4 linked regions of the Lepisosteus oculatus genome follow. The protein of the gene in region 3 interacts with the protein of the main gene of each other region in a pairwise test. Links are inferred from orthologs where the notes say so. Each region holds a gene or a part of one and is shown on either strand. Other genes may lie near its edges. The genes, in order: nek6, hoxb9a, leucine zipper putative tumor suppressor 2 homolog and suv39h1b.

The links.
Region 1: the proteins of leucine zipper putative tumor suppressor 2 homolog (region 3) and nek6 interact in binary tests that used the Homo sapiens proteins (3 or more experiments, as listed by UniProt). The two-hybrid records come from large-scale screens. The link is inferred for Lepisosteus oculatus from reciprocal best matches to the Homo sapiens genes LZTS2 and NEK6.
Region 2: the proteins of leucine zipper putative tumor suppressor 2 homolog (region 3) and hoxb9a interact in binary tests that used the Homo sapiens proteins (3 or more experiments, as listed by UniProt). The two-hybrid records come from large-scale screens. The link is inferred for Lepisosteus oculatus from reciprocal best matches to the Homo sapiens genes LZTS2 and HOXB9.
Region 4: the proteins of leucine zipper putative tumor suppressor 2 homolog (region 3) and suv39h1b interact in binary tests that used the Homo sapiens proteins (3 or more experiments, as listed by UniProt). The two-hybrid records come from large-scale screens. The link is inferred for Lepisosteus oculatus from reciprocal best matches to the Homo sapiens genes LZTS2 and SUV39H1.

What each region holds. Positions count from the first base shown.
Region 1 is NC_090719.1:13,837,808-13,845,666, forward strand, and holds the start of nek6 (serine/threonine-protein kinase Nek6), read right to left. Parts: upstream 3,121-7,859; 5' UTR 3,025-3,120; coding exon 3,023-3,024; intron 1-3,022. UniProt on the Homo sapiens protein: Protein kinase which plays an important role in mitotic cell cycle progression. Required for chromosome segregation at metaphase-anaphase transition, robust mitotic spindle formation and cytokinesis.
Region 2 is NC_090723.1:9,345,744-9,353,951, forward strand, and holds the start of hoxb9a (homeobox protein Hox-B9a), read right to left. Parts: upstream 3,165-8,208; 5' UTR 3,052-3,164; intron 1-3,051. Other genes in the region: hoxb10a (homeobox protein Hox-B10a), read right to left, coding at 4,799-5,073, 7,151-7,934. UniProt on the Homo sapiens protein: Sequence-specific transcription factor which is part of a developmental regulatory system that provides cells with specific positional identities on the anterior-posterior axis.
Region 3 is NC_090699.1:45,525,287-45,533,042, reverse strand, and holds the start of leucine zipper putative tumor suppressor 2 homolog, read right to left. Parts: upstream 3,163-7,756; 5' UTR 2,817-3,162; intron 1,243-2,816; 5' UTR 857-1,242; intron 1-856. UniProt on the Homo sapiens protein: Negative regulator of katanin-mediated microtubule severing and release from the centrosome. Required for central spindle formation and the completion of cytokinesis.
Region 4 is NC_090697.1:77,485,791-77,493,691, forward strand, and holds the start of suv39h1b (histone-lysine N-methyltransferase SUV39H1), read right to left. Parts: upstream 3,150-7,901; 5' UTR 2,836-3,149; coding exon 2,817-2,835; intron 1,259-2,816; coding exon 1,113-1,258; intron 1-1,112. Other genes in the region: NACHT, LRR and PYD domains-containing protein 3-like, read left to right, coding at 6,320-6,425, 7,430-7,477. UniProt on the Homo sapiens protein: Histone methyltransferase that specifically trimethylates 'Lys-9' of histone H3 using monomethylated H3 'Lys-9' as substrate. Also weakly methylates histone H1 (in vitro).

The sequences.
Region 1 (7,859 bases), on a different chromosome or scaffold from region 3:
ATCTTCTGTAGCAGGCAAAGATACTGCTGCAGTAAGTGGATGAAATCCCTGTTTGTTAGATTTCAGATGCCCTGTGTTTCCGCCCCACAAGATGAGTCACCGCCATACCATACGAGCAGTATTAATAGAAGTAGTATATAGGCCCTCTTCTGCTATCATGCCTGGCTTCTGCTCAAGTGAAAACGTTCGTGCTCCTGCCTCCTGAGAGGACTGAGGCAATCAACTAAAGAGGGAGAGAATCCCCTTCTGAATCACAAGACCTTTCAAGTATTTCAGCGCGTTCATCAATGGATGAAACATTTTCTGAAAAACTAATACACATTCGAGAGACAACAAATTCTGCTTCCTGTTCCTACACACCATGAGACTGAAATGACCTGCCATGCTGCAAACCAGGCACAATGAGAGATTTTGCCCTTGCAACACACTGATCAGTATACCTACTGTACAGTTCATATCAATGGCTTCACCCTGAAAGTTTTTACTGTTTTACATTTTTTTTTATTCAGTTCTGAATTGACCAGTATTTTTGTTGTGCCCTCCCAATTTTGAAGCAGATGGCCGGGGGTTTTTTCGACCCACGGTTTGAAACCCTGTAAGCTGCACCAAGGGGAGAACGGGGAACCGTGGGCTGACTCCTCCAACCTGCCTGCCTTCAAGATGCTAGTTTTGTTTCACACTTCACAGGCAACACGGTCTAGTACTGGAAGTTCAGCACTGATTGGAGGAGAGGTACTGGACGTCCCTCACCACCAGCACCGCCAAACTGCAAGAGCCCAGGAGACAGCAGGGGGCGTTGTGATGCCGAGAGCTGAGGGGGCTCTGACTGAATAAGCCCACCCTAGCCTGTGTAGCACTGTGCCCTTCCACTCAGGGGATCCCAGCTGCAGTCAGCTGCTGACATGGCCCAGTCTCATGGCCCAGTTTCACCTTTCAGCCAGACAGCCGGAGTGCACAAATTAACATAATCAATCAAACTACCACCTGCAAAATGATAACGGACAACCGCTCTAAATATGAACAAAGAAACCGACAAGAAGAAAAAAAAATAATTACACTAAGAAATTAACAGGTTCTTTTTTTGCCTCGCATTATAAGGAACTAAATATGTGGGCTGCTCTGCTTCTGTCTTTTTATTGCCTTGCAGAAAACACGTCTTTTAATGAACTGGAAACTTTTCTTCTTAATTATAGCACTCACCATCAAAGCTAAAATGCACAAATTCTTAGAAGAAGCTTTACATCTGGTACAGGAAATGCCACCTAAGCTTGCTTCGAAATGATGCAAATAGAAGTAAGAGGGTTAAGTGTGACTTTGTGGTTGAAAATCGCCCCACAATAGACTGGTGCTAAATCCAGGGACTGAGACGAGCTACGCTTGACTCATTACAGCTGAAAATAACTCCTAAAAGTATACATAAATCCCCGAGCCACACACTGCTATCCCTGCTTTGTTACAAGATTACTTTTCAAACTATTTTTAGTTTCACATCTATGCATTTGGAAATCCATTACAAACCGCAGCACGGTTTTACAAGATAACAGTTATACAAGATCAGAGCTTGCCACTATTTTATATTTAATGACAGAAGTGAACTCCTTAAATCAAGATACTAGAAATATTTCATTTTAAATACACATGATGTAATCCCCAGTTCATAATAGCAACCCACATTCTCACTTTGAAAACTCACACAGATGAATTGCCAATTTTTATAAACGGTACTGCAGCCAGGCTTGAGTAAATATTTCTTACCCCATTACTTGCAGAAACTCTGAAATGCAGACGTACATTAATGTGCGTATTTTCCGTGAAAAACATTTTATTCACTTTCAATAATTTTAAATACTTGCCCGTTTTTAGTTTTGTTGTGAAAATATGGACATGAGTGGCCAAATGTAAATTAGTACTGTCTCCAGTATGAATCAGGGTTTGGCTCATAAACTAGTGGACACATCCTAACTGTAACTGTACATACATTACATTAGAACATCCAAAAATAATATTAATGTACCCATTATATTATACCAAATGCAATCTGCACTGCTACCTGTTTTCTACCTGACAGGTTACGATATTAAAATATTCCTTCCTTTAAAATGTATTTCAGGCATTGAAACACATCACGCATTTAGAAGTATATATAAATTTTATTTTCGAAATTGACAATTTCATAGAAGCATGATGCGCCTGTTCCTCAATAATAATTTATGTAACTTTTATACCATAGCCCTTACTCTATTGAGATCATTCCCATATCTGGCTTAGTACGCTAGCCCTACATCTTTTATGCGTTTGAAGACAGGAATGCTGAAATAATCAATAGTCTTCAGCGAATTGGGTCAGACAGCAAGAGCTACTGTCCTCATTAACGCCAGCCTCCACAGGAAAAGTTAAAAGAATGGCAGAGTAAAATGACAAGGCCTCGCATAGACACATTGGAAACAAGGCACGTAAATCCTGCATTAGACCTGTCCAATGTGAGGTGAAGCACCTCTTAAAAAAAAACACCTTTGAGCTTGCACACCTGTAGAATCTTTCTACAGTAAAAAAGCAGCACAGGTCGCCCAACCCAGAAATGGCACTTGACACATCGGATTTCATTTAATAATTTCATAATCCTAGTTGAGTGCTGCTCGCAAAAAAGTTCTTCATTAAAGTAAATAACCATAGTTTTTATTAATGCTACGTAGTGTAGAAACAACAGCTTACTATTACAAAATCGGTAAGAACTCATCTGTCGTGTGAGTACAGAAATGTTTATTCTGTGGCTTGATGGTTTCTCGTCAGGTGTGATGCTCTTGCGGATTCAGAAGTCTTAAGTCAAAATCTTACAGCTGATACAGTGCATCCGAACTCTGCTAATGCACAGTACTGCAGGTGTAGCGCTCTTCATGTACAAAAAGGTTTTCCACCACACACACACAAAAAAAAATCCCTTATGATGCAACTGTGTCAGAGGAGCAAGCAGAAAAGGGGAAGAAGTATCTTCAAACAAACCTCTTTTGGTTTGGCTACTTACATGTTTCCTCTGTGTGCTTGACACCGCAGAGATGCTGTCTGCAAGTCTCGACTCCCTGGTAAGGTGTCACCAGATAGCCCAGCTGCAGCTTCTAATCACCCTCTGAAACCTTCAATGACAAGCTTCACTTCCTGTTTCCTCCCCTGCCAGCTTTTTTTTCTCCTTTTTTTTTCCAGGACAGCCTGTGTTACACTCTCTCAGATCAACACAACAGAGTGCCAACAGGCCGGGCCTTGGTACTGACAAATCAGGAGTTTTTTTTTCTTCCATTGTGCATATTCACACCACTTTATCCACACACAATTAGAAAACAGCTCTAACTAAGATTCTAAGATGTCAACTCCACTCACTGAACCATTTGTAATAAGGTACTAGGCAAACTATACAGTACTTATTGCACAGGCCCAGGATTATAATCAATCTGTATTTAATAGTTGTGCTTTAATAATAATAAAAGTGCAGTCACATAAACCCATTTTAATGATGTCCCTTTACTGTTTAATCACAATTCATAAAGAAACTAAGCAACTTCAAATTGTATCTTGTGCTAAAATTCAAATCATCTGTTAATTCATGAATGTAATGATCAAATTAATCTATTAAGGTTAATAAACAACTGTATAGCGCCTTGCAAACGTATTCCGACCTTTGCTCCAGTCTCACAGTCTGCATTAAAGCTTGCAGTCATGACACGTTAAAGTGGCAATTAATATTTTTGTGCAGAGAAAGTACTCCACACATTCAAAGCAAAAAGCAAAGAGTAAATAGAAGTAAACAGATAATACGAAAGGAAAATGGAGAAATAATGATTAAAAAAGTATTCCAATCCTCTGCTAACCTAATTTTATTTATTTATACAATTTTATTGTAAATAAGTGCATCTTACACTCAGCCTTATCTCTGCTGTCAAGCATGGTTGTGTCAGTCTTATGTTAAATTTCTGCTTTTCATCAGCAGGAACTGGGAAGACTGTCAAGACTGATGGGAACATAGATGGAGCAAAGTACTGGCAAATGTTAGGGGAAAACTTGCTTCAGACTTAAACCTGGGACAAAACTTCACTTTTCACCAGGACAATGATCCAAAGCACAAGGCCAATGCAACACTGGAGTTGCTTACAAACAAGAAAGCGAATGTCTTTGAGTAACACAAAGACCTGATTGGAGTCCTATTGAGAAACTGTGGAACTGCTGTCCATAACTGACCACCAAGCGAGAGCAAACCTGCTGAGATGAATGGGCAAATGTTGCACCAATCCAGTGTACAAAGTTTTACCTAAAAGACATGTGGCTGTAGTTGCTACCACTGATGCTTCCACCATTATTGAGCTCACAGATCTGAGTGCTTATTAAATCACCACATTCATTTTTTTTCTCTTTATTTTTATTCTGTCATTTATTGTAATTGAGCTCACCCTTAGAAGTGTTCAGGTTTGAACTATCACAAACTTCACAGATTTGTAGGGCATTGTAGTTACATTTTCGCCTTCCACCTTTAACTTAGCAATCTTTAATATGTCTTTAAAGAGTTCAATAGCTCGTTACTGTGCCTTGAAACCAAATAATCTTTTAAATCATAAGGCTTGGAAAGAAAACATTGACAAGTGATGTCATGAAATAAGTAAAAAAGCATCCAGGGAGTAATGATGACAGCCTTTTCATTTTCAGATTCAGAAAGGCATGAAATAAAACCGATTTGAACGGGGTCAAGCCGCTTGGAACTGTATCAGATTTTTTTTTCTACCACAACTAAGGTTAGTTTGAATCACAGAAGAAAGTGGGAGCTGACTGAGTTTGGAAATCTGGAATATGTTGAGCATGTATTGTTAAGCCAATTACAAGAGATGCAAAAGAATAAGGCTAATTGAAGCTACACAAATAACTGCACTCAACACTGAAGAAAGTCGTACTCTTTAATAAAAACAGTGGGATTTATTTAGTTAGTAATGATTGCAAAATGTTTACCCTAAGCAAGATTACTTTGGATGCAAGCATACTTAGCCACTTAGTTGGACAGAAGTTTAGCTTTTGAAACTCAAATTGCTAAATTACAAGTTAAAAGATAAATATAGACTTGGCTTCCTCTATTGCACAGCTCTTGTTTTTTGTGTTTCATTACGAATGCCCTAGTGTTTTTGTCTATAAAATAGCCTCCAAAATGTTGTTTAGAAAACTTTATGCGTTATATAATTCTGCCGTAGGATTTGTTATACAACAGGCTTTCCGTATCTCAGTAAACTCCCCATTCCAACAGATTTCAGATTTTATGCACAGCAGACTGAGTCCCTGTTTCAGTTTTACAGAAGTTTAATTCTGAAAACCCATTATCTAATTATCTAACTACCCAGTTACAAAATAGTCCGTTCAAGACTTTCTGAGGTTAAGATGCTCTCGTGGCATGATCAGAAAGCCATGAATTTCTGTTTAAAAACATCAGAACATGATGTGTCATATCAAGATGTAAGACTTACAAGAATATATTTAGCTTTCTTTTCACGTCTAAGTACACAGATGCGCTTACAATACACATGTGTGGGAAAGAACTCCAAGTACAGACAAAATCAACAGTGTTGTGCAGGATTTGTACAACCTGTACAAATACAGGTTCAAAGCAAACAACAGCAGACACAGACCCATATAATTAACAGGCCATTATCAAAAGGGTTTCCAAGAAAAAGCACTGTGACGACAGCATTGTTTCCACCATACAAGGTATGACAAACAGTGAAAGTACGCTTGGGGACTTTGGTGTCCTGCACACACACAATTCGGGTTTCTTTACAGCTACGTGTAATGCCGTCACAACACTATAGGCCTCCACCTTAAACAAATCAAGAAATGACTTAAAAGAGAGGCTTGGGCCTCAGTTTATGATCCAGATTAGTAATGCACTTGTACTTGCATGTGCATGTTGGAGAAAATAAAATAGCAAACAGAAAGAACTTTGAAAAAAGCTATTAAAGATCTTTTAAAGGAGAACAAAAGGGAGAAAATAATACTTCGATGGACAGTTATACAAGTTTTCACAACACTACAGTAGCAAAAGGACTGTTAATATTTGAATGCAGTACATAAAAGAATGCTAACACTGAACTTGTTAAAAACATTTTGTGAATGCTACTGGAGAATGCATGAATACCTTTCACATTATTCTGAGTAAGACCTGAACAGAACCTCTTCTGTTACCAGCAGGCCTTCTGTCCTTGTGATAATGTGACCACACGGTGATTATCTGAGGCGTCTTTTTCAAAAGTTTTGATTGGACCTAAAACAATTCACAAACAATATACTGTAAAAAAAATAAAATAATCGACGAATTCAATTTGACTCACCACGTCTGGGAAACCAGGCCTGATATTTGGAAAACTTTCTTTGGATTTTCCGCGTTTCCTTCCTGTGTAAATAAAAAAAAATATCAGGATGAAATCACTATTTAACACTTTCCTGCTTTTGGAACACTACAAATAAACAACAAAGGATACTTATAATATTCAAATATTTGACACCTTCTTATTATTTCACATAATGATACTAAATCCATTCCCTTCCAATGAGGTACTAAAGCACCTCAAGCCTTTATAAATCCAGCCCATACACTGTACCTCTGGGAAGTCCATTCCCAGGCTATTGTTAAAGTAGCATTGAATTATAACAAATAACCTTGACTCCTAGCTTGTGGCTATAATCTTATCAGGCAGCTAGAAACTAAAGACTTGTCTTAAGTGAATCATTAATGTATTCTGCTGACTCTCCCTGTATCTCAGAAGTGGTGTGGAAACCACAGTATGCAAACTAAAGGTCAAGGGTTATCACAGAACAGGCATTAACACACACACCTATCAAGGTAAAAAGGATTAACTGCTCTGACTTTTCTAGATGTGCTTTTAAGGACCAATATCAATAATTTCCTCTTTTACAGGAGCATTGTCTGCTGCTCTTATTTTATGAATTATTTTGGTTCAAAGGATTTTCCACACCAGATGAAAAATGATTAAAACATTTGTATGTTTGCAATTTAAACTCTATGACAGTTACTACAACTGACTTAATTGTTTTGTTTTGTTTTGTTTTACTTTTGGATTGTAACATGTTTAAGCAGGGTGACAGTTGTCTGGGAATATTCCTCTTTTTGTGATACTGGGTCTTTCAAGCTGAATACTAATATAAACATATATGTTCTAGACATATTCTTGTCAAGTAAATGACAAGAAAGATTACTCTAATGAGCTTACCTTGATGTTTTTTTTACATTGATACCATAGTTATATCTTACTGATGTTATGGTTTCTTATAGTACCAACATGTACACCTTGCTTTACAACTGACTGAATGCAATAGAAACACACTTTTTAATTCTTGAAGTAATGAAAACACAAAGCAAGATGAACTACTTAGCTTCACCATGTTTAGCCTCATTTTCTCGTTCTGAGCTCTCATTATGGTATTAGCTTTAAAGGGTTCAAACACATCCACAAATTCAATTTTTAAACTGTGGTAACCAAAATGGAAAACAGTATAAATGCGTAAGACTATATCATTAAAACAAAATGACTGAATATACCTGAACATATTTTAAAAGTTATAAAAAAATGAAAGAAAAATATAAAATTTGTCTAAATTCAGTGGTATCTTGAAACATTCTGGGCCAGAGACAACTCATGTAGGAGTTACTTTTAATCCATGTTGAATACATTCACTCTAGTTGATCTGAGTTCTCTTACTGACTTTCCAGTCTGGGTCATCCCAGAAGCATTCTATAGGAGTCCAGCCAGGACCCAAAGCAAAGCCTAGACTGTTTTTTAGTGTGTGAGGGGGCAGTTGGTTCAGACAAGATGGCC
Region 2 (8,208 bases), on a different chromosome or scaffold from region 3:
CTATTTCCCAGAATTTCCCCTTAATATTTCTGACTATAAATAAAAAAAAATCAAAGCTCCACCTTCCAGATCGATACCCGAGGGATCAGACCAGAGCTGTGGTTTGTGATGGGCTGTTCGATTTTACAAATTAAAGTATCACGCGAATTACAGTCTTAAGACAATTCGGTACGACATATGTATGCTGGAATATCTATACTCTCCTGATATCTAGATCTAGACGCGTGTACTCAAGCATGTGGTTTTGATAACGATTATTAAAAAGGTATGTTTATTGAGAAGAACCATCGCTATTCATATTGCACATTGTCTGACTTGGGTGGAGTAAAGCCTTTAAACTTTTTCGGTGTTATTTAAGCGAGTTAGGATTTGAGCCTGCTACTGAAACACCAACGTGACAGCGGCGAATTCTTCTGAAAAACAGTCCCTGAATTCGTATTCTTTAAATTTGTAAGAACATGAAAAACAATTAGCAGCGACACACAACATCTTGTAGTAGTAATAATAAAAATAATTCCAGACGCTCCAAACTTCGAAAACGCAGGAATATCATTAAGATATTTAATAAATAGAGTTGCTATTATTATGTGCGAATACGCCTTACTGCAGATTTGTAGACCCTGGGAATATATAACAGTATAACTGTCGTGCCCCACCATTTAAACATGAGTTTCATTTCCATATGACAAACGCAGCACCGAAATAATAACAATTATAAGCGTTTCTCAGCAATAAGGGGTAATATCACACCCAGAAAACACGAAAAACTAATTATTTTAACAATAATGTTGCTTCGTATTTTGAATAGTTCACGCTTCCTTTGTACCGGCTGGGAAAGCGGGGTGGAGCGCTGCACACAAATATTCTTGTGTTGTCGCTCGTCTGTTGGGAGAATCTCGCAGAAGAAACCACCTCAGCGAGGCACTAAAAATCGGCACAGCGCTGAAAATCGACACAGTGCCATATCGTTCATAAAATTCCGCGAATCCTGATGTGTAAGAAGTAAAACTAGGGTAAGACGCAATACATTATATTATATATTGTTATATATAAATTATTCTATATATTATATGTTATTTTATATATTGTTCTATATAATATAATATATATATATAATATATTTCATTAACGCAGGGTTAATTCCAGCACAAAAATGAGGCACGGAAAACATTGTGTCTTTTCTGAATCGGATCCGAAGATATTTAAACTCAGTGGCCCTTTTTTTTGTCTACATTTTTGTCCTGTACATGTAAGGCTCTCATTAAACGAAAAATTGTATTTTTTCCCCAAGTAAATAAATATGGACATTTTCGGAATGCTGCTGTGTTGTTCTTTTCCTGAATTGAATTATTCCATTATTACACCATGAAACCATAACCATTCTTTAAAGCAATATATGTTTCCCATCGCGTCTGTATTGTACCAGCCTGCGTACCTTTCAAAACGCATGTGAATAATTCAACTGAAAGCGGATTGTCCTGTTCTGAACAAGAAAATCACGGTTTTATTTTTTTAGAGTATCCACAAGCCGAGAGAGAGTTTTTTTTTCCCCTCAGGCTGAAGGCAAAGGGAATCTGTCGTAAAGTCCCCAGGCATCTCATAACTAGTTACAAAAAAAATAAAGTTTTTGTTGAAAATTATAGCAGGATTGATAAACCCAAAAGCGTAAATGCAGGCCAGTTAATTTTGAGAATAGCGCTGGCTGCAGATACAAGGCGAGAGGCTGTATGTTACAGGACGTAGCTTTCAGAGTTTTAAAGTCTGAAAAAATTTGGGAAAGTGACACACGAACCTGTGGACACCGGCTCCACTTTTTACAGTATTCACAAATCATTTTGTCGGTTTTCATTTAAAAGCCGTCACACCCGAAGAAGGGTTTTTCCTTACAAAATCAATAAATTTCTAGATGGCAAGATTCTTGTTCTCCAATACCGTTATCGTGGGTTTTTTTTTTCTCAGAAGGTTCGGCGTTAAATAACTGGAGTAATTCAGGCAGTTTCAGGTTCCTGTGATTATAAACTTGCAGCCCAACAACATGAAACTACCTAAATCACACAGCAGTTCGGCTCTCCTCGGGTTCAAAGGCGAAGATTAGCATAAAATCAGACTCTCGGAAAAGGCCATTGGGCTAGCTGGGAAAGTGACGTCACATGCACCCTGAGGCGTCATCCGGAGAGAAACGGTTGCTAAGATACTTTGAAGCGCAGTCAAATCCTTCTGAATTAAGCCGCCTCTCTGTATATAATGTAATTTGTAAGATGGTAAACACGGCTCAGACTGGACTCTCACATTTTGTTCTTAGTCACATTGGTACAGAATGCGAAATCTGGCAAGAGCTACGGTTCTTCGATTCACTGCAATTATGCCCAGGGACTGAACTATAGTGTAGTCGTTAAATTATAGGAGGCAACGTTACAGGGCGACGGTAGAAATAGCGAGATAATTTCTCCAAGGAAAATAAACCTAATTATACCGAGTCATCCCTCCCACAGCTAAAGAGTCTGTTTCTCTCAATTCAGATTCTTCAGTCTGAGACTCTCATCCTGTCTTAAAATGGTGCGTTTTCAACATGGCGGGCGCGCACAGCTATTCCATTATTGCTCATCCAAACAAAAGGCGAACAGCTGTCAATCACAGGCGTGCGAGCCCAGATAGCCAGTTAACACTTATAACCCAGCGTAAAATACAAACCTAGTCTGACATTAAAAACGAAAGGGCACAGAATTCGTTTTCGCCGATGCTAACGTTTACCAACCAAATATAGAAATTTTGCAAAATACATTCAAGAGGCCTGGAGTTCGCCAAAAGGATAGGCTGGTGGTTTGAACGGCCCACAGTTAAACACACAGACGAAAGAGTCCAAGAAAGCAGAAGAGAACGAAATATCTTTAAACATAAACCCGAGGCCTTCAGACGATAATTCAACTTCCCTGGGGTGATTCACCTGAAAAAATGCTTTCTCTTCTCTACCCTTCAAATGATTTAAATTCGTTATTCTCGGCAAACACACACACACACACACGGAGATACATAGATAATACAGAACCCAACTGAATTATCCATCGCCTGGCGCCGGACAGGCTCCACACCTCCCTTGAATTCAGCGTCTTGCCTCGTCTCCGCGCAAGAGTCGTCTTAGTGCGACGGTAAGGCTATATAAACGCACGTCGGAGGAAATTCAATAAACTTTACCCTTGCTTTTGAACTTCGAACAATTTAAATTGCGCATCACGGGGTTAAGGCTGCTCGTCGAATTCGAGCTATAAAAACAAGGGGCTGGACAAACACTCACTTAGCAGCGCCTCCGCACTACATTTTTAACAAACACTTTATTTTGCAGAAGTACAATAAACCGACGCACATGTCTTTGGTTTTACAGCTTTTAAAATAAGTACACGTCATTGTATTTTATTCCGTTGTATTCTCGTTTATTATTTCTTAGGTTTCTGCTCAACTCTCTTGTTCCTAACTCGTATACCCCCCCCCACTCGCAAACTAATTCACCTCGAAGAAACATTTACAGCTACCCTTTAAAAAAAAAACTCCAGAGGATAAAATTACGCGATCATCTTCTGGAAACACACAAAGAAGACGCATATAAATACAATCGCATATAACGAACACAACGGCCGGGACAGTTTAATACTAAACAAGCTATTTGTGTTGCCTCTGGTTCCCATTTTTAACATCCTGCTCTGCACATGAGTTTTCATTTCTGGACAATTTTCAACGCGGACTCAAGACTCTCGAAGCGCCAGATACAGCAGTATAAAGCAGCGATTCGCCCAGCGCTAAAGCAGAAATCGCAATTTCCTAATTCCAACCTCTTGAGAAACAGAAGGGACTTCACAGAGGCGAAAAGACGACTCCAGTACGAGATATTTTTCGTTGAGGAAGAAAACAAGACATTTCACACGCCTGCCGTTATGGGAGCAGTCTCTATATTAGTCAACCACAGAACACAATTAAACGAATGAAAATAACCACCCATATACAGAATCAAAACTGCGAGCTCCTTTTCATTTTAAAAACTTTTTTTTGTACAGAATATACGAAATAACCATAAACATTAAAATACATTCATGCTTTCTTTTTTTTTTAAACATTAAAAGTTCGTGTTGACGCGAAACCCGTTAGGGACAGCTTGCTTAGAGCAAGAAAACTGTTAGTCCGAGCAGCTCCAAACCAAAAACAGGTTTCGTTGCAAAAAAAAAAATTGTAGTCAAGTCCGTTGTGTGCTTGTATTTGTAACACTCTTTAACTTAGCGTCCCGGGGGGAAATTAAGATGCTTTTCCTAAATATGCAAAGACAGGGTAAACAACATAAAGAAATACAACATCAAACCGCAATGCAGCTTTTTTATATAAAAGAAAACGTCTTTGGTTGTAAATTCCCTACACACATTTCCTGTAAACAGGAGAGAGGAAGAAGACCTGCACAACCAGTCGCATCGTTTATGCGGAGGCCAAAGAGGGGAAGAGGAGAAATCGAAGGAGTAAACTAATGAAACGAAACACATTTACATCACATTTTCACCATTTATAAGACCGTTTAAATAAACTATAAGGTGCTTCCGTGGTCCAAGGTTAAGTTATACTGGAGGCCGTGTTTAGTGACCTCTGGAACGTAGAACTTTAAGATAATAAGAAAACGTGTCTCCATGCAAGTGTCTGGTCTTCTGAGTCTCTGGATGGTCTCTAGTCCGGTCTCTCCAGGCCTGCGGCGCCGCTTCAGAGTCTGGGAGGAGATGCGTCCCGGATCTGACTGTCCCCGAGACCCCGAAACCCCCCCGGTGCGTCACAGGGAGAAGTGTGCAGTCACGTCTCGAGCCCTGTGGTCTCGGGTCATTTTTTTCAGTTTCATCCGCCGGTTCTGGAACCAGATCTTGACCTGGCGGTCAGTGAGGTTGACGCTGCGGCTGATCTCTAGGCGGCGCTCTCGGGTCAGGTACATGTTGAAGAGGAACTCCTTCTCCAGCTCCAGGGTCTGGTGTTTGGTGTACGGGCAGCGCTTTTTCCTTCCGGCTTTCGCGGTCAGCCAGCCGGTAGCGGCACTTTCAGCCTTTGAGTCTTCTGCCAAGTGAGAAATAAGACTTTTTTATTCACTTTTTAATTAAAAAAATGTTTTCTCTGTTGCGCGTCCTATATAGAGTGTACGCACATAGACAACACCTTCAACGTTTGACCCTTTACATTAAGTAAGCCGTCACTGAAAAGCAACTATACGATTCAAGGATCGAAATACCGGCATACAGCAGACATTCAAAAGCACACCACTGGTGACCCTGGGTCTCCTGATGGCTGATGAAGATTCCTGTTGTTGTACTGCCCCGCTACTGCAATGTAAAGCCATCCCAGCGAAAATAAACGAAAAAAAAATGCAAAACATAAAACAAATGTTTTGCACCTGATCGTCCAGGTGACAGTTACTGTCCTAGCACGATAAATTCTCGTTAGTTTCCTCGTTTAAAATGAACAGTTCCCAAAGGATGTACAGTACAGTGTGAGAGCGGGGGAGAAAGTGTGTTTGTGAATTCAATCATAAAAGTGATGTATCTAGTTCTTTTCAGAGGGCCATCTAACGATTAAACCGCGAATACGTGGACGATTTTTAGGATTGAGGATTTGAGATTAATTGAATAATATTTGTGGCATCCGCTGCACGATTTTCTTCCAGGAGTGCCGGAATCTTTCATCTGACGAGTTTCCGCAATCTCTTCTCCGCTGTGTGAAAAAATGCTTTTTGCTAACAAAATAAATCTACAATTATGCAAGTTCCCGTTTTCCTCCAGAAACGAGGATACTAGTGTTCGACCTGATACTAAATTTCGACGTTAAACGAAATACATTAGTAGGCCTAATCCATAACTTGCAATTTGAATCAGTGAAAAATTCTGAAAACTACATGCGATACATTTTACAATTTGAATTTATCATCTGACGCATTATCTTTATCTGGGCAGCTAGCAGACAATTATTTTAATGTACAGGAGCAATGTGGGCATATACAAAATTATGATAAAATAAATGACTATGAAGACAAACGAGATGTTCAATTTCAAAGACACTATTGTGTGTATTACATTGGGTTTATCACATGAATACCTTTGTTTGTTACTACTGGATTTCTTCAAATTTGTATTATTGGGGGGAAAAATAATAGAGTATTATTATATATTAATATATTATAGGTTTTCTCACGGTGTTCTAGATTTATAATGGGTTATTTCTACTTTATTGTATTATTTTTTTACTATTAGTTTTGTTAATATGACTTGTACTCGAAATGTTTGGTTTTTTCTTCTCAAACTAAAAATAAAAAAGCGCAAAATTTCAATCCTGAGGAAAGATTTTGGTGTCTGTTGATATTTTTTTGTCTGCCGTTGGCTCTCCGAAAAGCCGAGCTTTGACGTCGAACAGAGCCATAGCGCCGTTGTCGTACTGTTGCCCCTTAACGACAAAACTCCCTGTTACAGACACGGTGCAAAGGCAACAGTTTTAACCTACTGGGTGGCTTTTAAAAGATGGTTACTGAGTGGTTACGTCTGCTCCAAAGATTTCAAGTTAAGCCGGAATCCAGTGTGTGCACGGGGGGCTCGCGCTGATTAAATTCTTGCACCAAACCCCCCCGGAAAATCAAATCATTTATAATTTGTTGTAGGAGATTTTGCACTGCAATACGAAAACGTTTTTTTTATTTTATAGAATGCACACGGCCGTAAAATGAACGTTTGGGATTGGGTTTACTCTAGAGGATTTAATTCATCCTGTAGATCGAGCAGATCTGGTAAAAAAAAAAACGCTCCCCGCATGCTGTTAGTTTTCATTTAAGGGGATATGGCTTTCTCTATAGATCTGGGCTAATTGCTCACCTATAGCCTGCTATACTCTCCCAGTTCACAAAAGAAGCCTTCCGTTGTTTTTGATGTTATAAAGAGCACAGTAAATAGTGCAATTCAGTCTGGCGCTGGGGCTTCGGTGCAATAAATTAATTTTGTAAGCAGGCGTCCTTTTTTTGTTGTTCTGGCGCCCCTTCCTTTACAGCCTTTAGAAAATCACCTTTTTTCCCTCTCAGCCGAGAGGGAACCCTGTTTTCCTGTCGTTATCATCAACGACGCCGTTTCATCTCGTTTCTACTGTATCTACCCACCTTGCGCGTCCTGTCCAGGAGTTTTATCGCCTGCAGGAAATTCCGAGAGGGGTTTGTCCTGTAGCAGTCCCGGAGCTACGTCTGCCTTGCAGTTGTTGTTGTTGTGGTGGTTGTGGTTGATGACGATGATGCCGTGGCTGCTGCCCTTCTGTGGCGGACAGAGGGGGCTGCCAGGTGTCACATCACCGCTCGGGGTCTTCTTGTCCGATTCCGTGCAGTGCTGCTCGGGAAAGCCCAGGTCATACAGCTGCTGAGAGTCCGAGTGGGACGAGGAGGGGTGGGCGCCCGGAGGCAGGTCCGGGGCGCTGTAATCGAGGAGTTTCAGCCCCGTGTAGGACTGCTCCGGACGGAAGTAACCCTGGATGGGCCCGGCAGCGCTGCTCATCGAGCCCATCTCCGACACGAGTCTGGTGAAGGCGGAAACATCTGGCAGCGGTTTAGGGTGCTTGGCCGTTTCGAGGAAGAAGTAGGAGGAATCGTCCTTTCCAATGGACGCGCCGTAGGGACAAGCGCTCACCTGCTGGGCTCGCTCGGGGCTCGGGTGCTCTCCCCAGTGCGCCAGCCCCGGGTGAAACTGGTGCGAGGGGAAACCCACTGTCGGCTGCGACGGCTGGCGGTGGTGCGGATTCATTTTCCCGACTTTGTCCGGACTTGACACCGAAGCCCAGGGATCCTGGGCGGAACCGTCGAGCTGATAGATGGCGCAGGGAGACTCCCCGTGACCGCCGCTTATTAAAGAGTTAACAGAAAAAGCGTTGCAAGGGGATCTTTCAGAGCATGACATTGCTAGGGCATATTTTGGCGAAGGCGAAGGGGGTCCCTGTCAATTGGCGTTTCAAATAGAAAAGCGTTTCAGGGCTACTTCCTGTGCGGGGGCCAATCAGAGAGCCAGCTGTCCGTCCCGACTCCTCCCATGCGGTGCTGCTTCTCTTCAACAAGCATAGTCGCCGAGGCGGACATCCATGTTTAATTGATTATAAAAATAGGATACAGATTTCATTTTTGGGGGGCTTTCTGCTCTCACGGAGAATTCAATGCATTGACCCGGTGTTAAAAAA
Region 3 (7,756 bases):
CTGCCACGTCCGCTGTGCCGCACTGCAGTTCTCTAATAACATCCTTCAGAACTCCTCTCTGCTCACCCAGCAATCACCCGCTTCCCCGCGCACTCTGCCCTGCTGCTCCACTGTCACTGTGCACACTATACTGTGCCTATGGGACGTCAGTCCTGCACAAGACCACAGCAACTAAACTGCTGGCCTTTACAATGCAGATGGTAGATCATGCCTTCCTAAAGTCATCAGTTCAATAAATCATAACAATATACGTCTTTTTCAACAGACAGCACCACAACTCCATGATTCTGTTAACACATTGTCACCCAAAACTTATTTGTTCCTCCATTCCACCCTTCCTCATTAGGTTTCCAAGTCTTGGAATTAAGCTGTCATTTTCCAAGGATTTCCTGCAATGTTCAAGAATCCCACTGTTCTTTAACAACTTGTATTTCACTGTCCAGCCTGACACAATACCCTTTGGTGCCGTGCAGGATCAGGTAGGGGATGAAACAGAATACTTATTCTCTGTCTTTGTAGCACAGCTGCAGGATAACAGCCCTTTGCTCAGCCCTAAATGAAACCAGCATCTGAAACCCACTGATAAGAGGCTTGTGGTAGGGAGACTGAAGATTCGGGTTTTATAAAGGCCAGCCTCTCTAAATGCTAAGTGGGCCAGAGATAAACCTGAGCTGACAGGTGGAATCAGTCAGATGGGAAGAGCTTGCTGCCGTCAAGGGCTCTGGTACCACAGAGCATTCCCCTTTAAGGCAATACTTTACACTGCCTCATTAATCTATTGCAAAAAAAAGGCTATAAATAAAATATGATACCGGCTTCTTGTGTCCTTGTCCGATAGGCACCAAACAACACCTACATTTTCCTTTTCCAAGTGACACCTTGGCCAGTCTGTGATCACAGGGTTCGCTCTGTTCAGCACTGGAGGTGAAGAGCCCTCCCAGGAGTCTCAGGGCTGAAGGCGTCCCAGCAACTCAAGGGCTTCTGCTGTCATGCCACTGTTTCACACACTCAGCAGCCAGGCCATCTCACAAAGCCAGCAGAAGGGCTACACAGGGGCACCCCGGTGAGCTTTAGCACTGTAGGTCATCGTCCAGCTACTGCCTGAAGGCTGCCAGCAGTCAACTTGAACAACAAAGCAGACAGCTTGTTCTGTCCGGCAGACTGTGTGTTTAGAACAAGGGCCTTCTACATTTGGGTCACTGTTTAGCTTGAAGAAGTCATCTGGGTCGGTTCTGTCCACACCTATAATAAACAAAACTAAAGAGACTGAGTTCCTTTAACCCTTCTGCGTGTGAGGTCACAGAGGCAAGGATGGTGGAATGTAGCAAAGTCTTCTTTCTTGTATTTTAGTAACCTGTCCTTACTGTGGTAAAGGTTTGTACCTCAAAGTCATTGTCATAACATTCTGTTCCACATTGTTAGAGAGTTGACAACCCTGCACCCAGCTTGAAAAGTACCACACTGTTAGCAAGCATTGTTCTTAATAAGGCCTGACTCAGACGCTCGAGCCCAAAGCTGGAGCAGATGTACCACAGGTGCAGAAATATGTAGGGCAAAAAAAAACAGCTCGAGTTTGGGGATATTTATTTTAATATGGTGGGGCTCTGTATGACTTCCAGTGTGGATTTCCTAACTGTTCAGTAGAGCGAGTGAAGACAGTCCCACCCGGGCTCAAGGTCAGAGGGATTTTCTGCACGACGCGGAGTAGGCACAAATCATTCTCACTGCCCCTCACAGATCCAGGACATCGCCCTCTACCGCCATTTGACGGCACTGCAGAAGAAACCACAGGGCGGATTTTAAACTGCGCTTGATCTCAAAGCGCAAAACCGCGACCTGAACACTGAACGTTATCTCGGATTTTAATGGAACAGTCATAATGAATGTGCATGGTAAGCTGTAGTTTTGTCTTTACAATATTAGGAACCCAATGAAATAGGCAAGCTGCATACAACACGTTAATTTTAGTCCCTAACTTTCTATTACTCAAGCCTCTACTAAAAGCATCTAGGGGAGTAATCCCAAATGAAAGATTTTAATTGCACATTCCTTCTCCCGATCGTTACAAGCTCAGTTGCGGAAGGAGGGGGCTAAACATTACCGGGGGATGTTAAGCGCGCACCGTGACACCCACGGAGAGCGCCGCTCTGCCGCACGGTGACCAGCCGGTTCCCCGCTGACTCCGGCGCTCTGCCGGTGTCGACTCGCGACCCAACCCACTTCACTCTGATCAAAAACACCGCCACTGTCTTCATTTGGATTTTAAAATACCGGCCGAGCCATACCGCGGCACCGAAACCCCAAGATAAAGACATCGTACTGCGATATTGATCGCACCATCAAAGGGCTCCTTCCATCCCGACGCGAGAACTCGACAGCACATAATTACGCACTTCAAAGTGTGGAGAGTTCCTCAACAATATTTTTAATCTGCCCCTTAGTAAGAGCCTTATAACACATTTCAATACATGCAATTGCGATCGCCGGTGCTGTTCCGATCTGTTGCGAAGCCTGGAGTCTCACACGATGTTGTAAAACTAAAACCGGTTGTTTTGTTCGTGCTTTCACTGCTCAGAAAACAACACTACAGCAAATAGCAAAATCGCTGAAGAGTTTCTATATATACTTATGCGTTATTGTGTGGTGTGGTGCTTTTAAGTAAACGTGATGATAAACAGCGTTTAGTTCGAAGTTTCTGCCTCCAAGTAGACCTGACAACAGTGCAGGTATGGTACACCGGCAATCCCGAGCTGTAATCAAATGATTTAGCTACATCAAAATAAATAACAACAAGCAAACTGGTTCCGTAAACTTACCAACTAGTACACGCAAGTCTTCATCCGAAGATCCAAGACCGTACTTTTGCAAAGAGCGTAGAGAGAGAGGGGAAGAGTTCAGTTCCCAGGCATGCGAAATCCGCGGTGTTGAGTTTTATTGTGACGGAATTTGTGGGTCTGCCAGCAAGTTTCAGAACAGCCTCGCGGCGGTCCGAGCGAAGACTCTCACAGCACCAGACTTCCCATCGCCCTGCACTTCCCTGTGGAGCTGACGGGCAAACACGAGCGCCTTCGCTCGTCTCCCGGCAGGACCCAGCCCCCACCGGTCTGCGCACCGCCGCTGGCTGGAGAGACAGCCGGCCTGCTCTCCCTCACACCGGGGCTCGGGCAGGGGGAGGGGGGCCGCAGGGGGGTGCGGACTGCCGACCTCAGCGTCCTGAAGAAGCCAGCTGTTACACTGTAAATTGTTCCCACTACAAAATAATGCTCGCATTGAACATCGTCTGTTCATCTTAGTACATTCAGATTCATACAGTACCTGTATGAATCTGAATGAAAAACCCGAGAGATCACGTTTACTTTGGCAAAAGTATTTTCAGTCTCATCCCATTCTTCGCTGAAATGCTTAAATTAGCCATTTTTTTTCCCACCCGAGCTCATACTGTCGATTCCGGGTGATTACACACAGAAAAGCATATAAACCAAGCATTTAAGAATGGTCTGTTCCCACGAGTAACGTTTTGTAGATAATAAACGGCTTATCCCAGTTATCCTAAAATCGAGTTTCTCTTTGAGAAAGCTATTTTATTGAAAATAAGAATCGGGAAACACGTAAGTTTTGGTATCCAGTATTTTAGGGTAAGATTGCGGTTCAATAAATGTTATTTTGTTTTTTATAGTATATTAAAGCATTAGAGGAAAACTATTAGCAATAGTGGTATTAAACATCATCTTTATCCAGATAATTTAGAATAAGTACTCTTTTATACTCTTTTATAGTAATGACATGGCCAAGAAGCTCACACTATTGTGGCTCAGGAAACAAAGCACAAGAAGAAATAAAGGAACAATCAATAAAGTTAATCAATAATCAATACAGTGGCTCTGTGGCTAAGGATCTGCCCCTGTGACCAAAAGGTTGCTGGTTCAAATCCTGCAGCTGGCAGAGGAATCCTACCCTGTTGGGCTCCTGAGCAAGGCCCTTAACCCCAACCCCTTCCCCTCCCTGCGCTCTGACCCCAGGCTCTCTCTCTCTCTGTGTCTCATGGAGAGCAAGCTGGGGTATGCCAAAAGATAATTCCTAATGCAAGAAATTGTAAAGGGTTAATAAAGTTGTTGTTATTATTATTATTATACAACAGGACATTGTATTATTAACTGTAGATGTCAATCGGAAAGGATACACCTGAATTTAGAGATACCCATTAACCTACCTAACTCACCAAAGTACTCACAGAAACCTCATGTTGACAGCATGCAGACTCCACATAGAAGGTACCTCAACAAGAATCAAAGTTGGAATAGCAGTCCTAACCACCACACCTCTGTGCTGACGCTAATAAAGTCATTTTACTTCAAACTGTCATATATCTGTTCATGAAAACAAGTTCCACTCCTGATGATCTGTAAAACATCATAGTGGTAATATCTCAGTGTTTGAACTGCTATACTCATCAGCCAAAAACATTAGGAACCCTGCTACATAGCATTTTTACTTACACTGTGGCTTTGTGGCTTGTAAATGACACCTTATAAACATGTAACAAACAAGACATAAACACTCGGTTGTCAATCACTAACACATTTGCACATAAAGACAAGTGTTTTGTTACTAATCATGATTAATCTTTAATAGGATTGGTAACTACCGGGTTATTCATTATTCAGACTGTAGGTGACCTTTCAATCTATTACAGGTTCTAAAGAATTTCTAATGGAATTTGCAGCTCCTGTTTAGTATCAGAAAATATAAAGGACGGTTTGAACAGGATGTAGCATGCATTTCCATACTTGAACCACATTACATTACTTTATTTTGTAAGTATTTGCAGCCCAATCCCTTTGGGCGATGATGAGCTTTGAACCACTTGAGCTGCCAGTTCTTGGTAGGACTGAGACCTGGGGATTGGTCTGGCATTGGAAAGTGAAGAGCAGCTTTCTCACACCCCTGAGACAAACAAATTATATTGACAGAGAGCCTATTCGTCTGGCCTGAGGGTTTCTGATGTTGTGAGTCTACATTGACAGCAGCAGGGAGTCTTAGCACCTCGGCATGGTTTTATTGTCATTTACCAATAACATTTTCAACCACCAAGACTCTCTGGGTTCGAAGGCGGGTCATGTTACTACCCAGCTGTGGGCAGAATTCCCCACGTGGCAGTGCACAAAGGGCTGGGTGAAGGAGCCCGTCTCTGCTTATTTGCCCCATGCTGGTGTAGGGGTTGTCGCCCTTGATTAGGCAGATAAAGCAGGCTGACGGTGGCATCAGTGCCATCTAGCCCAGTGGCAGTCAACCTTGGCATCTGGATTGCATGCCACTGTAGGTCTGTGCTCCAGCTATTCCATCATTTTAAACAGGCGCTGTCCTTCGGATGAGACGTAAAACCGAGATCCTGACTCTCTGTGGTCATTTTTAAAAATCCCAGGGTGTTTCTCGAAAAGAGTAGGGGTGTAACCCTGGCGTCCTGGCCAAATTTCCCATTGGCCCTTACCAATCATGCCTCCTAGTTATCCACCTCTATGAATTGGCTTCATGACTCTGTTCTCCTCCCCACTGATAGCTGATGTGTGGTGAGCGTTGTGGCGCACTATGGCTGCCGTCACATCATCCAGGTGGGGCTGCACATTGGTGGTGGTGGAGGGGAGTCCCCATTACCTGTAAAGCGCTTTGAGTGGAGTGTCCAGAAAAGCGCTATATTAGTGTAAGCAATTATTATTATTATTATTATTATTATTATTATTATTATTATTATTATTATTATTTTCAAACTGATTGGCGGCACCTGGGTCATTAAGCAATTGAGAATCATTTCAGCACTAGATGTATTGAAAGCTTCAAAGTCCTGGAATGACTTGGAAGCCAGGTGCCAAAGTTGGCTGCCTTTGGTCTATACTGATTGCGCCAGATGTCAGAACTTCAGAAAGGCTGTGCCTGGTTAGTGCTGGGAGAGTCAGGTGCACTAGGTTGCCATAATAAGCTGTGTTAGTGGACCAGTAGGTGGACCAGTAGGTGGTGCTATGCCTTCTGGACCAGGGTATGCAAACCAATGTAAGATGACCATGAGCACTGTGATGAAGAGAATGCTGTGTTCTGGAAGAGATTAAACTTAGATCCTGACTGATTGGTCATTAACTATCTCCTGGCATGTCTAGGTCATTTAATGCAATTAAATCTCATAAAACAAAAATAATTGGAGAGTCTAAAATCCATTATAGAGAATTTTAGAAGCTTCATGTACAAGAAAAAGATCTGCATAATGAAGATCATGCCAGTCTTCGATCGTTAAACTCCCGATGGGAATAGGTGTCTCGCCATTATTCAGCATTGCTATAAACAGAAGGGCAGGCTGATTTTATTTAAACGTCCATTATTATGTGATATCTTCAGCAGGGCAAATGGAGATGGGTGCTTGGCAATTAAATAAGAGGAATAACAAACTTGATTTCTTAGGGTGACCGAGAGGTGCAGTGTTTGGAATATCACCTTGTGACTCCAGATAGTTTTTCTAGAACAAATACATTTCCCTCTGCAGAATGTTCGTGAGAACCCTTGTCCCAGATTTCACACAAACCACACACTGCGTTCCGCCTCATTCAGCACTGTGAGACCAGTTGTTGAAACAAAAAGCTGGCTTCATGTAAAGGCTGTTTATTTTCAGATTGCTGTTATGTGTAGATAACGCTTTTGGTGGTCTATACAGTTTGGGAAAAACTTAGAAATGACAAACAAGCCTTGTTAGAAGCTAAGACAAAGCACGCAACTTTCTGTGTTATGTTAAACCACACTTCAGTTTCAAAAAGTTACACAGGTGTAATGTCTCCTTTAACACCACCTATGAAGCAGCTGAGTGTGTTGAGCTCCACACCAGTCTAAATCTTAAACCCCTTCGCAGCTGAACTCTCCATGACCCTCATTCTGAATGTCATACATTTCACGTCCTGAAACATTGCCCCCTTTAGAGCAATTTTCACGCTTCATTTGAGAGCTTGTTTTTCAAGTGTGATTTTATTATTGCTAATATTAATAACACACAGTTGGAAAATTGAATTTGCATATGAGCCGTTGTGCACAATTCACACCAGAGCTGTAAAGCCTAGGCTGCACAGCCAGAGGTAATAACTATAATTCTCACCCAGTGCTGTTCCTTTGAGAGCCCGGTTTTGGGTCCCCAGGAGTTTTTCTTTCTTAATTTTGGAATCAACATAAATTATTTTAACATTTTACACACAAACAATAAAAAATCACCAGTTTTACAGTCCAGGTGACTTCTATGGCTGTACCAGCACAGGAGAGATATGGACCACATCTGCTTTCCTCCAGCACACAGATTGTGGAGATGACCAGCGCACTCTGTTACGGAAAAGTTACTGCCAGCAGCCATATCACCCTGCAACTCACAACTAGCAGCCCACTGAAGCTAAGCAGGTGTGAGCCTGGTCAGTACCTGGATGGGAGACCTCCTGGGAAAAACTAAGGTTGCTGCTGGAAGAGGTGCTAGGGGGGCCAGATGGGGACACTATACTGTAAACAGGCGCCGTCCTTCGGATGAGATGTAAAACCGAGGTCCTGACTCTCTGTGGTCATTAAAAATCCCAGGGTGTTTCTTGAAAAGAGTAGGGGTGTAACCCTGGCATCCTGGCCAAATTTCCCCATTGGCCTTTATCAATCATGGCCTCCTAACAATCCCCCTCTGTGAATTGGCTTCATTACTCTGCTCTCCTCCCCACTGATAGCTGATGTGTGGTGAGCATTCTGGCGC
Region 4 (7,901 bases), on a different chromosome or scaffold from region 3:
AAACATTATTATTATTAAACACTCACTCACACACAACACAAGCAAGACAGAAACTGACCCCAGAGCCAGACAGGGCCCGACTAAGGGAAAAACTACACACGTGTTCCTACAAACACACACTGCACATAACATCGGCCACTGTCACTAAGGGCACATACTTGGAGCTCTGAGCGAGTTCTGAATGCATTTCTCAATGTGCTTCAGAGCAGGCAGATGGTGGCATGTCAAAATTTTTTTTTTTTGCTCATTTCAAAGTTGTCCATCAGGATCTTAACATACACGTGGTGGAAAACAGGCCAAAGGATTAAACTTGATGTGTCATTGTTACCAACATGTAGACGTGGCATAAAAACGAAGGCAGTATTAACTGGTCCTCACAGTGTTCGCCTTATTTTATTGGGGTTTGTTTCCCCCCCCCAATCGGTCGCAATCACAGATCAGTGCATCCGCTCACAATTTATAAACGAGCTCATCGTCAAGAAATTAAACTGCGGGGAGAGCATGTCTGTCCTGTTCCTGGGTGACTAAAATAAAAATAAAACGGCACCAATGAGACCACAGTGCTGTTCCTGTTTAAAGGATCTAACAGGCTGTCCCCACTGGACACCATCACCAGCGCCTGCGCAAACAGCCCCCCCACTCCCACCCAATTCCCTGCTCCCGCTCTGCTTCCAGAGGCTGGGTTTGGCTCCCTGTCAGCTGCCGGGACACATGGGCCCGGAATCCGCTGCCCAGTTAAATCTGGAGTGGAGCGGGAACAGTACACCAAATATTCTTTGGAAACAAAATGCACAAAAAAAGCCAAAACAAATGACAGCTGTTAAGACATAAATGACAGTCTGCTCGACGGCCCCACCCTCAGAGAAAGGCGTGCAGCTGCTCCCGTCCGGGCCTCGAGCCCAGAGCGGTTCTGAGGGCTGAGCAGCGGACAGCCGAGAGCCAACTCCGGCCGCTGGGACGGCAGTGTCAGGAGGCAGGAGGGAGAGACCGTGCACACGTCCGTGCCAGCGCAGCAAGGGCTGGAGAGGGTCATGACCCCGACCCGCCAGCGCCCAGGGCAGAGACAGACCACCGCCAGCCAGGCCTCACCACCCCCCTGCGCGGGCACTCACCTTCGTTTTCCTGTAGTCGCACAGGTACTCCACCTCGAAGTCATTGAGGTTCTTCTTGGTGATGCCCAGCTCCTTGCAGGCCACCCTCTCTAGCCGGCACAGGGTCTGCAGCTGGCTCCACGAGGACTTGCACGCCACGCGGCACCCTGCGCACGAGCAAGGACAGCGGGTCAGCCCCCGGGCACCACACGCGCCCCTCCAGCTCGTCACGCCCTCCCCCGGGCGCCCCAAGACCACCGCCCTCTGCGCTGTGCCCTTCACAGCTGGCAGGACGTCTGAACGAGTGCAGAGCGATTTTCCACAAACCTGCGGAAGGAACACTCGGGGACTAATCAGCTGCCGGACTCCAGACGGTGATGCTCTGTAGGTGCAAACTCACCTTCATCAGAAACACAATTTAGACTCCTCACCGTGTGGTACTGTAGACACAGGGGTGATCTGCTCGCTAGAGTTATAGTTTAGGTTGTGAGAAATACTCGGAAAGATTAGTCAGAGCTTCCTTAAAGCCCCCTGAAACTCGGACTGTGTCTGCAGCCGAGGCAACCTTCCCTAGCAACCAAGACAGCACTGAGCTTTTATTCTGGGGGATAAAACAAGGGCTTCAAATCAGGAGAGCCGAGTCTGAGCCTTTCCCTGCCACACAACAACTCTGGGAAGATAATTTCTCCTGCCTGCACGACTCGAGCACCTTCGATCAACCACTGCGCTTATTTTCTCATTGCCAGCGCAGACACGGCGGCCCTGAGCATCAACAGAGAAGCCAAATCCAGGCATAAGTAGCACTGACCTGCGCCCCTGCGTCACCCACATCACGGTCACCGACTGGCCTCACCGCACCCGACGCCAAGGAAGCACCGGGGCCGAATCGCACACACCAGTATCTCATGCTTAGCAACACTGATGATCACGGACAACCAAGCTTATTTTTCCATTTTAAAAAGTGAGAGAGAACCTGAACACTCTACCACGCAATGTGGCGGTGTGCTTTACCCCGCTGAATATTTTATTCAGGAATGTCAGAAACTGCTGTTAGACTCAAGAGCAACCGAAGGTCTCAGCTGCCTTATCCCGCTCTGTTATGCGGCGGACAGCGGTGGGGTCCGGGCACGGTGAGGGATACGTGTGCCCCCTGTGCTGCAGCCAGTCAGCTGGGGCTCTTGTCGCCAGGAGCGGGGAGACGTTTCCTAACAGACCCCACCGGCGCCCGCGGCTTCACGGGCGACACCGAGCCCCGAGAGCTGCCGCACGACACAGCCCTCTGCTGCGGTCGGAGGCGCCACGGACCGGCCGAGCGCCGCGCACCCCCGTGTGGTCCCACAGCCCGGGGAGAGAGGCGAGGACGCGCGTCGGAGCCACCGGGACCGTCTCCGGACCGCAGACGGCCATCTGCAGAGCTCCTGCCCGGGCAACCGACTGCTCCCCCCACCGCGATGGGGGACCCGGGGAGGGGGGGCACCCCGCACGGCAGGCTGCCGGGGGTGGGGGGGTTCCCGGAAGGGCCCCGGGGTCCCCCGGCTCGCGCCCCTCCGGCCGGGGGTTTAAACGGATCCCCCCTGCCCCCCCCCAGAGCGAGCGCAGCGCCGCCCGGCCGCCCCTCCCGACAGGACCCGCCGGGTACACGGCCCGGCCCGGAGAGCCCCCGCCGAGCGGCGGCGAGCATCCGCCGCCTTTTTCGCGCAGGGGGCGACGCGAAAACTTTCTTACCTTTCAAATTTTCCGCCATCTTCTTCCCCGCCGCCAAAAATCTGCCTGCTTAGGCAGGGGCAGGGGGCGCACACGGCGGACGGCTCTCCGACTGGCTACAGCGCTCCACAAATGACACCCGGCGCAGCCAATGAGCGCCACCACTCCCCCCCCTAGGCACGTCCAGAGAGGGGCAAAAGCGATAGCGGACCGGAGCGATTGGAAAGCGAGTCTTTTGACTGAGCCGCGTCTTTTGACTGAGACCGCAGGCAGCGCTCGCTCACCAGTCACGCCGCCGAGCGCCCTCGCGAGCCGCCCTCCTATTGGCCAGGCCCGCAGAGGCGGGAGATCGCCGCTGCGCCGGGGTTAACGGTCAGGGATTTAAGCACACCGCCCCCAGCGATTGGCCGGCGCGGGCGTGAGTGGCGTCCACATCGAGCAATCGCCGTCAGGCGGGGGGAGGGGACAGGGCGGCGAGCGAGCGCCGTGATTGGCCAGGGGCACGCATGCCCAGGGACGGGGATCGCGCTGAGTTGTGGGTCTGGTGGTTGGTTTCAAATCAGCAGCGCGCTTCCGGTTTTATGGAAAGAATGTTACTGAGCTGCGCCGAGTCGTGTTTATCAATTGTCATACAAGGCTCGCTAATGTTTCTATTTTTAACCATTTGGGATGCCCTACGGTGTCTGTCAGTTAGACCGCATAGCGTAAATAATGGCTTTTTACTTAACTAGGTATTCTCTTACATTTGCCATTTATCATTGGAAGATTAATGTGAGCGAAAACCAATACCTCCAGCTCGACACATATTCTGTGTGCTCACATATCTCATCACTTTTCACCGTTAATAAAACTTCTGTCCTGCACCGTCAGTGACACCTCTGTGTGTCCGGAGCCGATTTCCTGTGTGAGTTTCGTGTTGGCGTTGGCCGCAAAGCACTGAAAGCAGTAAAGGTTTCGGTTTCCTTAAACGTGTGTGAGATACACGTAGCGTTGGTCACCCCGCTCAGTTTACCAAACACATACCTAATAGGAATCAAAGAGATTGTTTCAGTTTTATGTGGGTTGTTTCAAAGTCGTGTCACGGATTGGGTGACTCCTATAGGATTTACTTTTGCTTTGTAGACGACTATGCCACCTAACAATTCTAAAGGGTGCTAAGACCCTTCTCCTGCCACAAGTCCTGCTCGTCTCCCAGAATCCCCAGCGAATACACACAGACCAGCAACAGGCACTTCATTTCCTAGTGATCACAACAACTCTCACAGCACATTGTACAAAACCATAGCGTGATGGGGGTGGGAGGAGGCAGACCAGAGGCAAGCACACAATTTACACCTCAGTCACCCAACAAAAGTCCCCAGACACTGCAGTCCAGCTGTTCTGTCCTCTGTGTAGTTCCTTCGGTGATTCTCAGGCATCGTCTCCGGTCCTGGCAGTCCAGAACAACACGGCTCCCTCGTGCTCTCTCCCCACCTCGATTTCTCCGAGTCCAGGAGAAATTTAATAGTGTTTTTAATAGTGACGGCAGCCATAGTGCACCAGTGCTCTCACCTCACCCCAGCTCTCAGTGGGGAGGAGAGCAGAGTGATGAAGCCAGTTCGGAGATGGGGCTTATTAGGAGGCCATGATTGGGAAAGGCTAGGAGGGAATTTGTCCAGGACACTGGGGTAACAGCCCTACCCATTTCGAGAAACCCCCTCGGTTTAGTGTATTTATGCATCATTTTGCAGCTTTACCAGGTGGGATGCCATAGGAAGGATGTGAAGGATGGCCACTGCTGCAGCTGCAGTCCTGCTCGGGGTCACACGAGTCCGGACACCTCCAGACAGCGGATCAGTCGGGCGGAGGCCCAGGAAGTGGATCACAAGAAGAGCATCGTCGCCTTCAGTGAGACCTCTTGAAATCTTTCATAAAGTCTGCTACACGTGCCAACCACTTCCTGCACTAGGCAGAGATAAGCACTGGTGCTGAACCTCCAAAGCAAAACAGTTTCGATTCGCACCATCGCTGGCTCAGCCCAGCAGAAGGTAAGCGAAGTCTTGTTTTGTCCTCTTTTAGTTGCTTTTGCAGGTGGATTCCAAGTAGCTTGTTTTTCTAACCTCTGTAGAAGCCTTTCGCAGCCTCGTTCCCTTGCTGACAGAGGGGTATGGCGTGTGCCTGGCTGACTGGTGGCACGGCCAGGGGCCAGGGGCCAGGGGCCAGGCTGAGGCTGGATGTGTCTGATGTGTGAAACAGTCAGAAACAGCATCGCAGGCGCGAGGAAGACAGACAACAACCAGGAGCACTGCGCACAGCTGAGGTGAGACCGATCTACTTACAAGCTTTACCAAGAAACACAGCGACCTCTTTTGCCTCAGGGTATCAGATTTTTTTTAAATCATTTTCTTCTACAGGCTTGGTTCTACATTTTCAGAAAATGGAATCAATTGCCGGTTTTGTCTGTCTACAATTCTTGTGTCTGTGATGGTTAATGGGTAAAAATGTGGTCATATCCCCAAAGGAGAGTAATCATTTTGATCAATAGATGATTTTAGGGCAGCACAGTGGTGCAGTGGTGAGCATTGCAGCCTTGCAGTGCTGTGGCCCTGATTTTAATTCTGGGCTTGCATTGCTGTTGGTGTGGAGTTTGTATGTTCTCCCCCAGCCCATGTTCTTGTGGGTTTCCTCCAGGTGCTCCGGTTTCCTCCCACAGCCCAGAGACATACGGGTGGGTTAATTGGCTTCTGGGAAACCTGGCCCTGGTGTGAGTGCTCTGCTACGGACTGGCATCCTGTCCAGGATGTACCCAGCCCAGTGGCCGTTGGTGGGATAGGATTGCTGGGAGAGACTCTGGCTCCCCCTCAACCCTGAATTGGAAGAAGAGATTAGAAAGTGGACGAATTATTGAAAATCTAACATGCATGAAAAAGTTTCACATTGTCATTTACTTTCAACACATTCGCCTCACAGGAAACATCAAGATAAAATGTAGGTGTTGACACATTATTTTTCTTTTGCTACATACTGCATTTTGCTACAGAAATCCTAGCAGAAATGCCAATCTCTTCTGTATAAATATTCCTGCAATTATATTTTGTATTCTATTTTTTTTTCATTATTTTTTTGAAACATTTATATCAGGAATACAAATCATTTTCATTTATTGGGTGAAGTGACAGACAATCAATGTTCTGTCAGTATTTCTGCAGCACCGTGGAAAAGTTTGTAGCAGTACATTTGTCATATTCTTGTAGAAGAAGTAATTTAATTGCTTTTATTTTAATTACTTTTCAGCGGCGGGATTTTGACCCTCTGTGTTTGCTTGACAGATGCAGAGGAGTCTGATGTTTTAAACAGAAGGCCTGGACTCTCTCACGCTGGATAGAGGGCTGGTTGTGTTTAAGCTCCTGTCTCACCACCTCGCCGATCTCACTACAGAAGACTTCAAGCGCTTCAGACATGAGCTGCGTTACAGCAAGCAGGATGAGCACAGGATCTCCTGGTTGGAGCTGGAAAATGCTGACCGCACTGACACAGCTCACCTCATGGCCGAGCGTTTCAGCTCCCAGGCCGTGGAGGTGGCGCTGGATGTCCTGAAGTCCATCAACTGCGCCTCCACAGCACACAGCCTGCGGACAGAATGGGAGAAGGGTGAGCCCTGTCAGGGTGGTCTTCACAGGAGGGGCCTGCGAACCTGCTGCGGTCAGCTGGCCCGGCTTGTTTCAGCTCCTCAGCCAGAGAGAAACCTTCTCACTGGCTCTGTCCTACAAGGACTTTGACTGAGAGATTGATTAAACCGAGCAACAGCTGTTCAAAGCACAACATGTCCTGCACAAGTAGGAACCCAGTATTAGCATTGCTGTTTTTTTCATTATTATCAGGAGCCAACATTGTCATTTTAGGTTTATCTGAAAAAGGAATAAGGGGATATTTTTTAAATTAAAAGACTTGAAACGAATCCTTTTTAGGACAAATGGAAAAATAATTCCAAAATCAGACACCACCAATGCTGCCTCCTCTCACTATTTCCTGGAAATTGAGTCACTAACAGCTACTGATGAATAACAAAAAAGTAGCTTCAAAACCGCGTGTCTTTCCTCCTCTAGTCTTGTGAGAGAATGAGAGAGAGGGGTTTCTTTGGAGCTGTGGTTTGCCAATCAGGCTCAGTGCTGAATGACTTTCTATCACTAACTCAGAAGAGTCGGTATCAACGGGAACCTGACAGTGGTGAAACATAAGCAGCTTTTCTGCTGGTTTCACATGTGAGTGCACACTGAGAGCACGAGGTCAGCACCCCTGTCTCTGATCCCTGCTCTCGCTGTGAACAAGGGGTCTCAGCTCCCTCCCGCAGGCAGAGACAGCCCCAGATCAAGCTGCTGTTTTAATACCGGCGGGGTGTAGCTGTTCCGGGCTTCACGCCTTTTTGAATACACGAGTCAGAGGGAAAACAGATGTTAATATAGTTCCAGACTTATAATGTGTTTGTATAACCCACTGTTGTTTCCGTATTAATATGATGCTCAGCAGGACTTATTTTCCTCTCCCGTATTTATTTCCTCTGTGATTAATCCTTCAGTCATGTAAATACTGCTTTGAGAATTTTAAGGTGTCAAACTGCTGCATATCTTACTAATAATTCTGAATTTGTTCCCCAGTTACAGGTTATGATGCAGGACACTCCCCTCCAAAAAGAAGGTTGATAGGTAGGTGTTTTGGCACTGATTGTGAAGATTTGGTTAACTTAAATAGTAGATTATATGCACCATGGTGGTGCTCTCCCTCTCGTGCCACTAGTGCAGAGCATGCTCAACCGATGATTGATCTGTGAAATAAGAAGCTGATTCAGGGGGGTCACATTGAAGTAGAATACGATAATAATGATTCCTCACATGCATGCAGTGATTTCCATCCCAAACATTTCCACAGCTCTCTGCATGTAGGTGGGGACCCAACCAAAACCTGGGGGTCAGAGCGCAGGGTGCTCCTGGAGCAGCTGGGGTGAAGGGCCTTGCTCAGGGGCCCAACGGAGTAGGATTCCTCCACCGGCCGCGGGATATGAACCGGCAACCTTCAAACCACAGGGTCAAGTCCTTTGCCGCTCTCAGTGGGGAGGAGAACAGAGTAGTG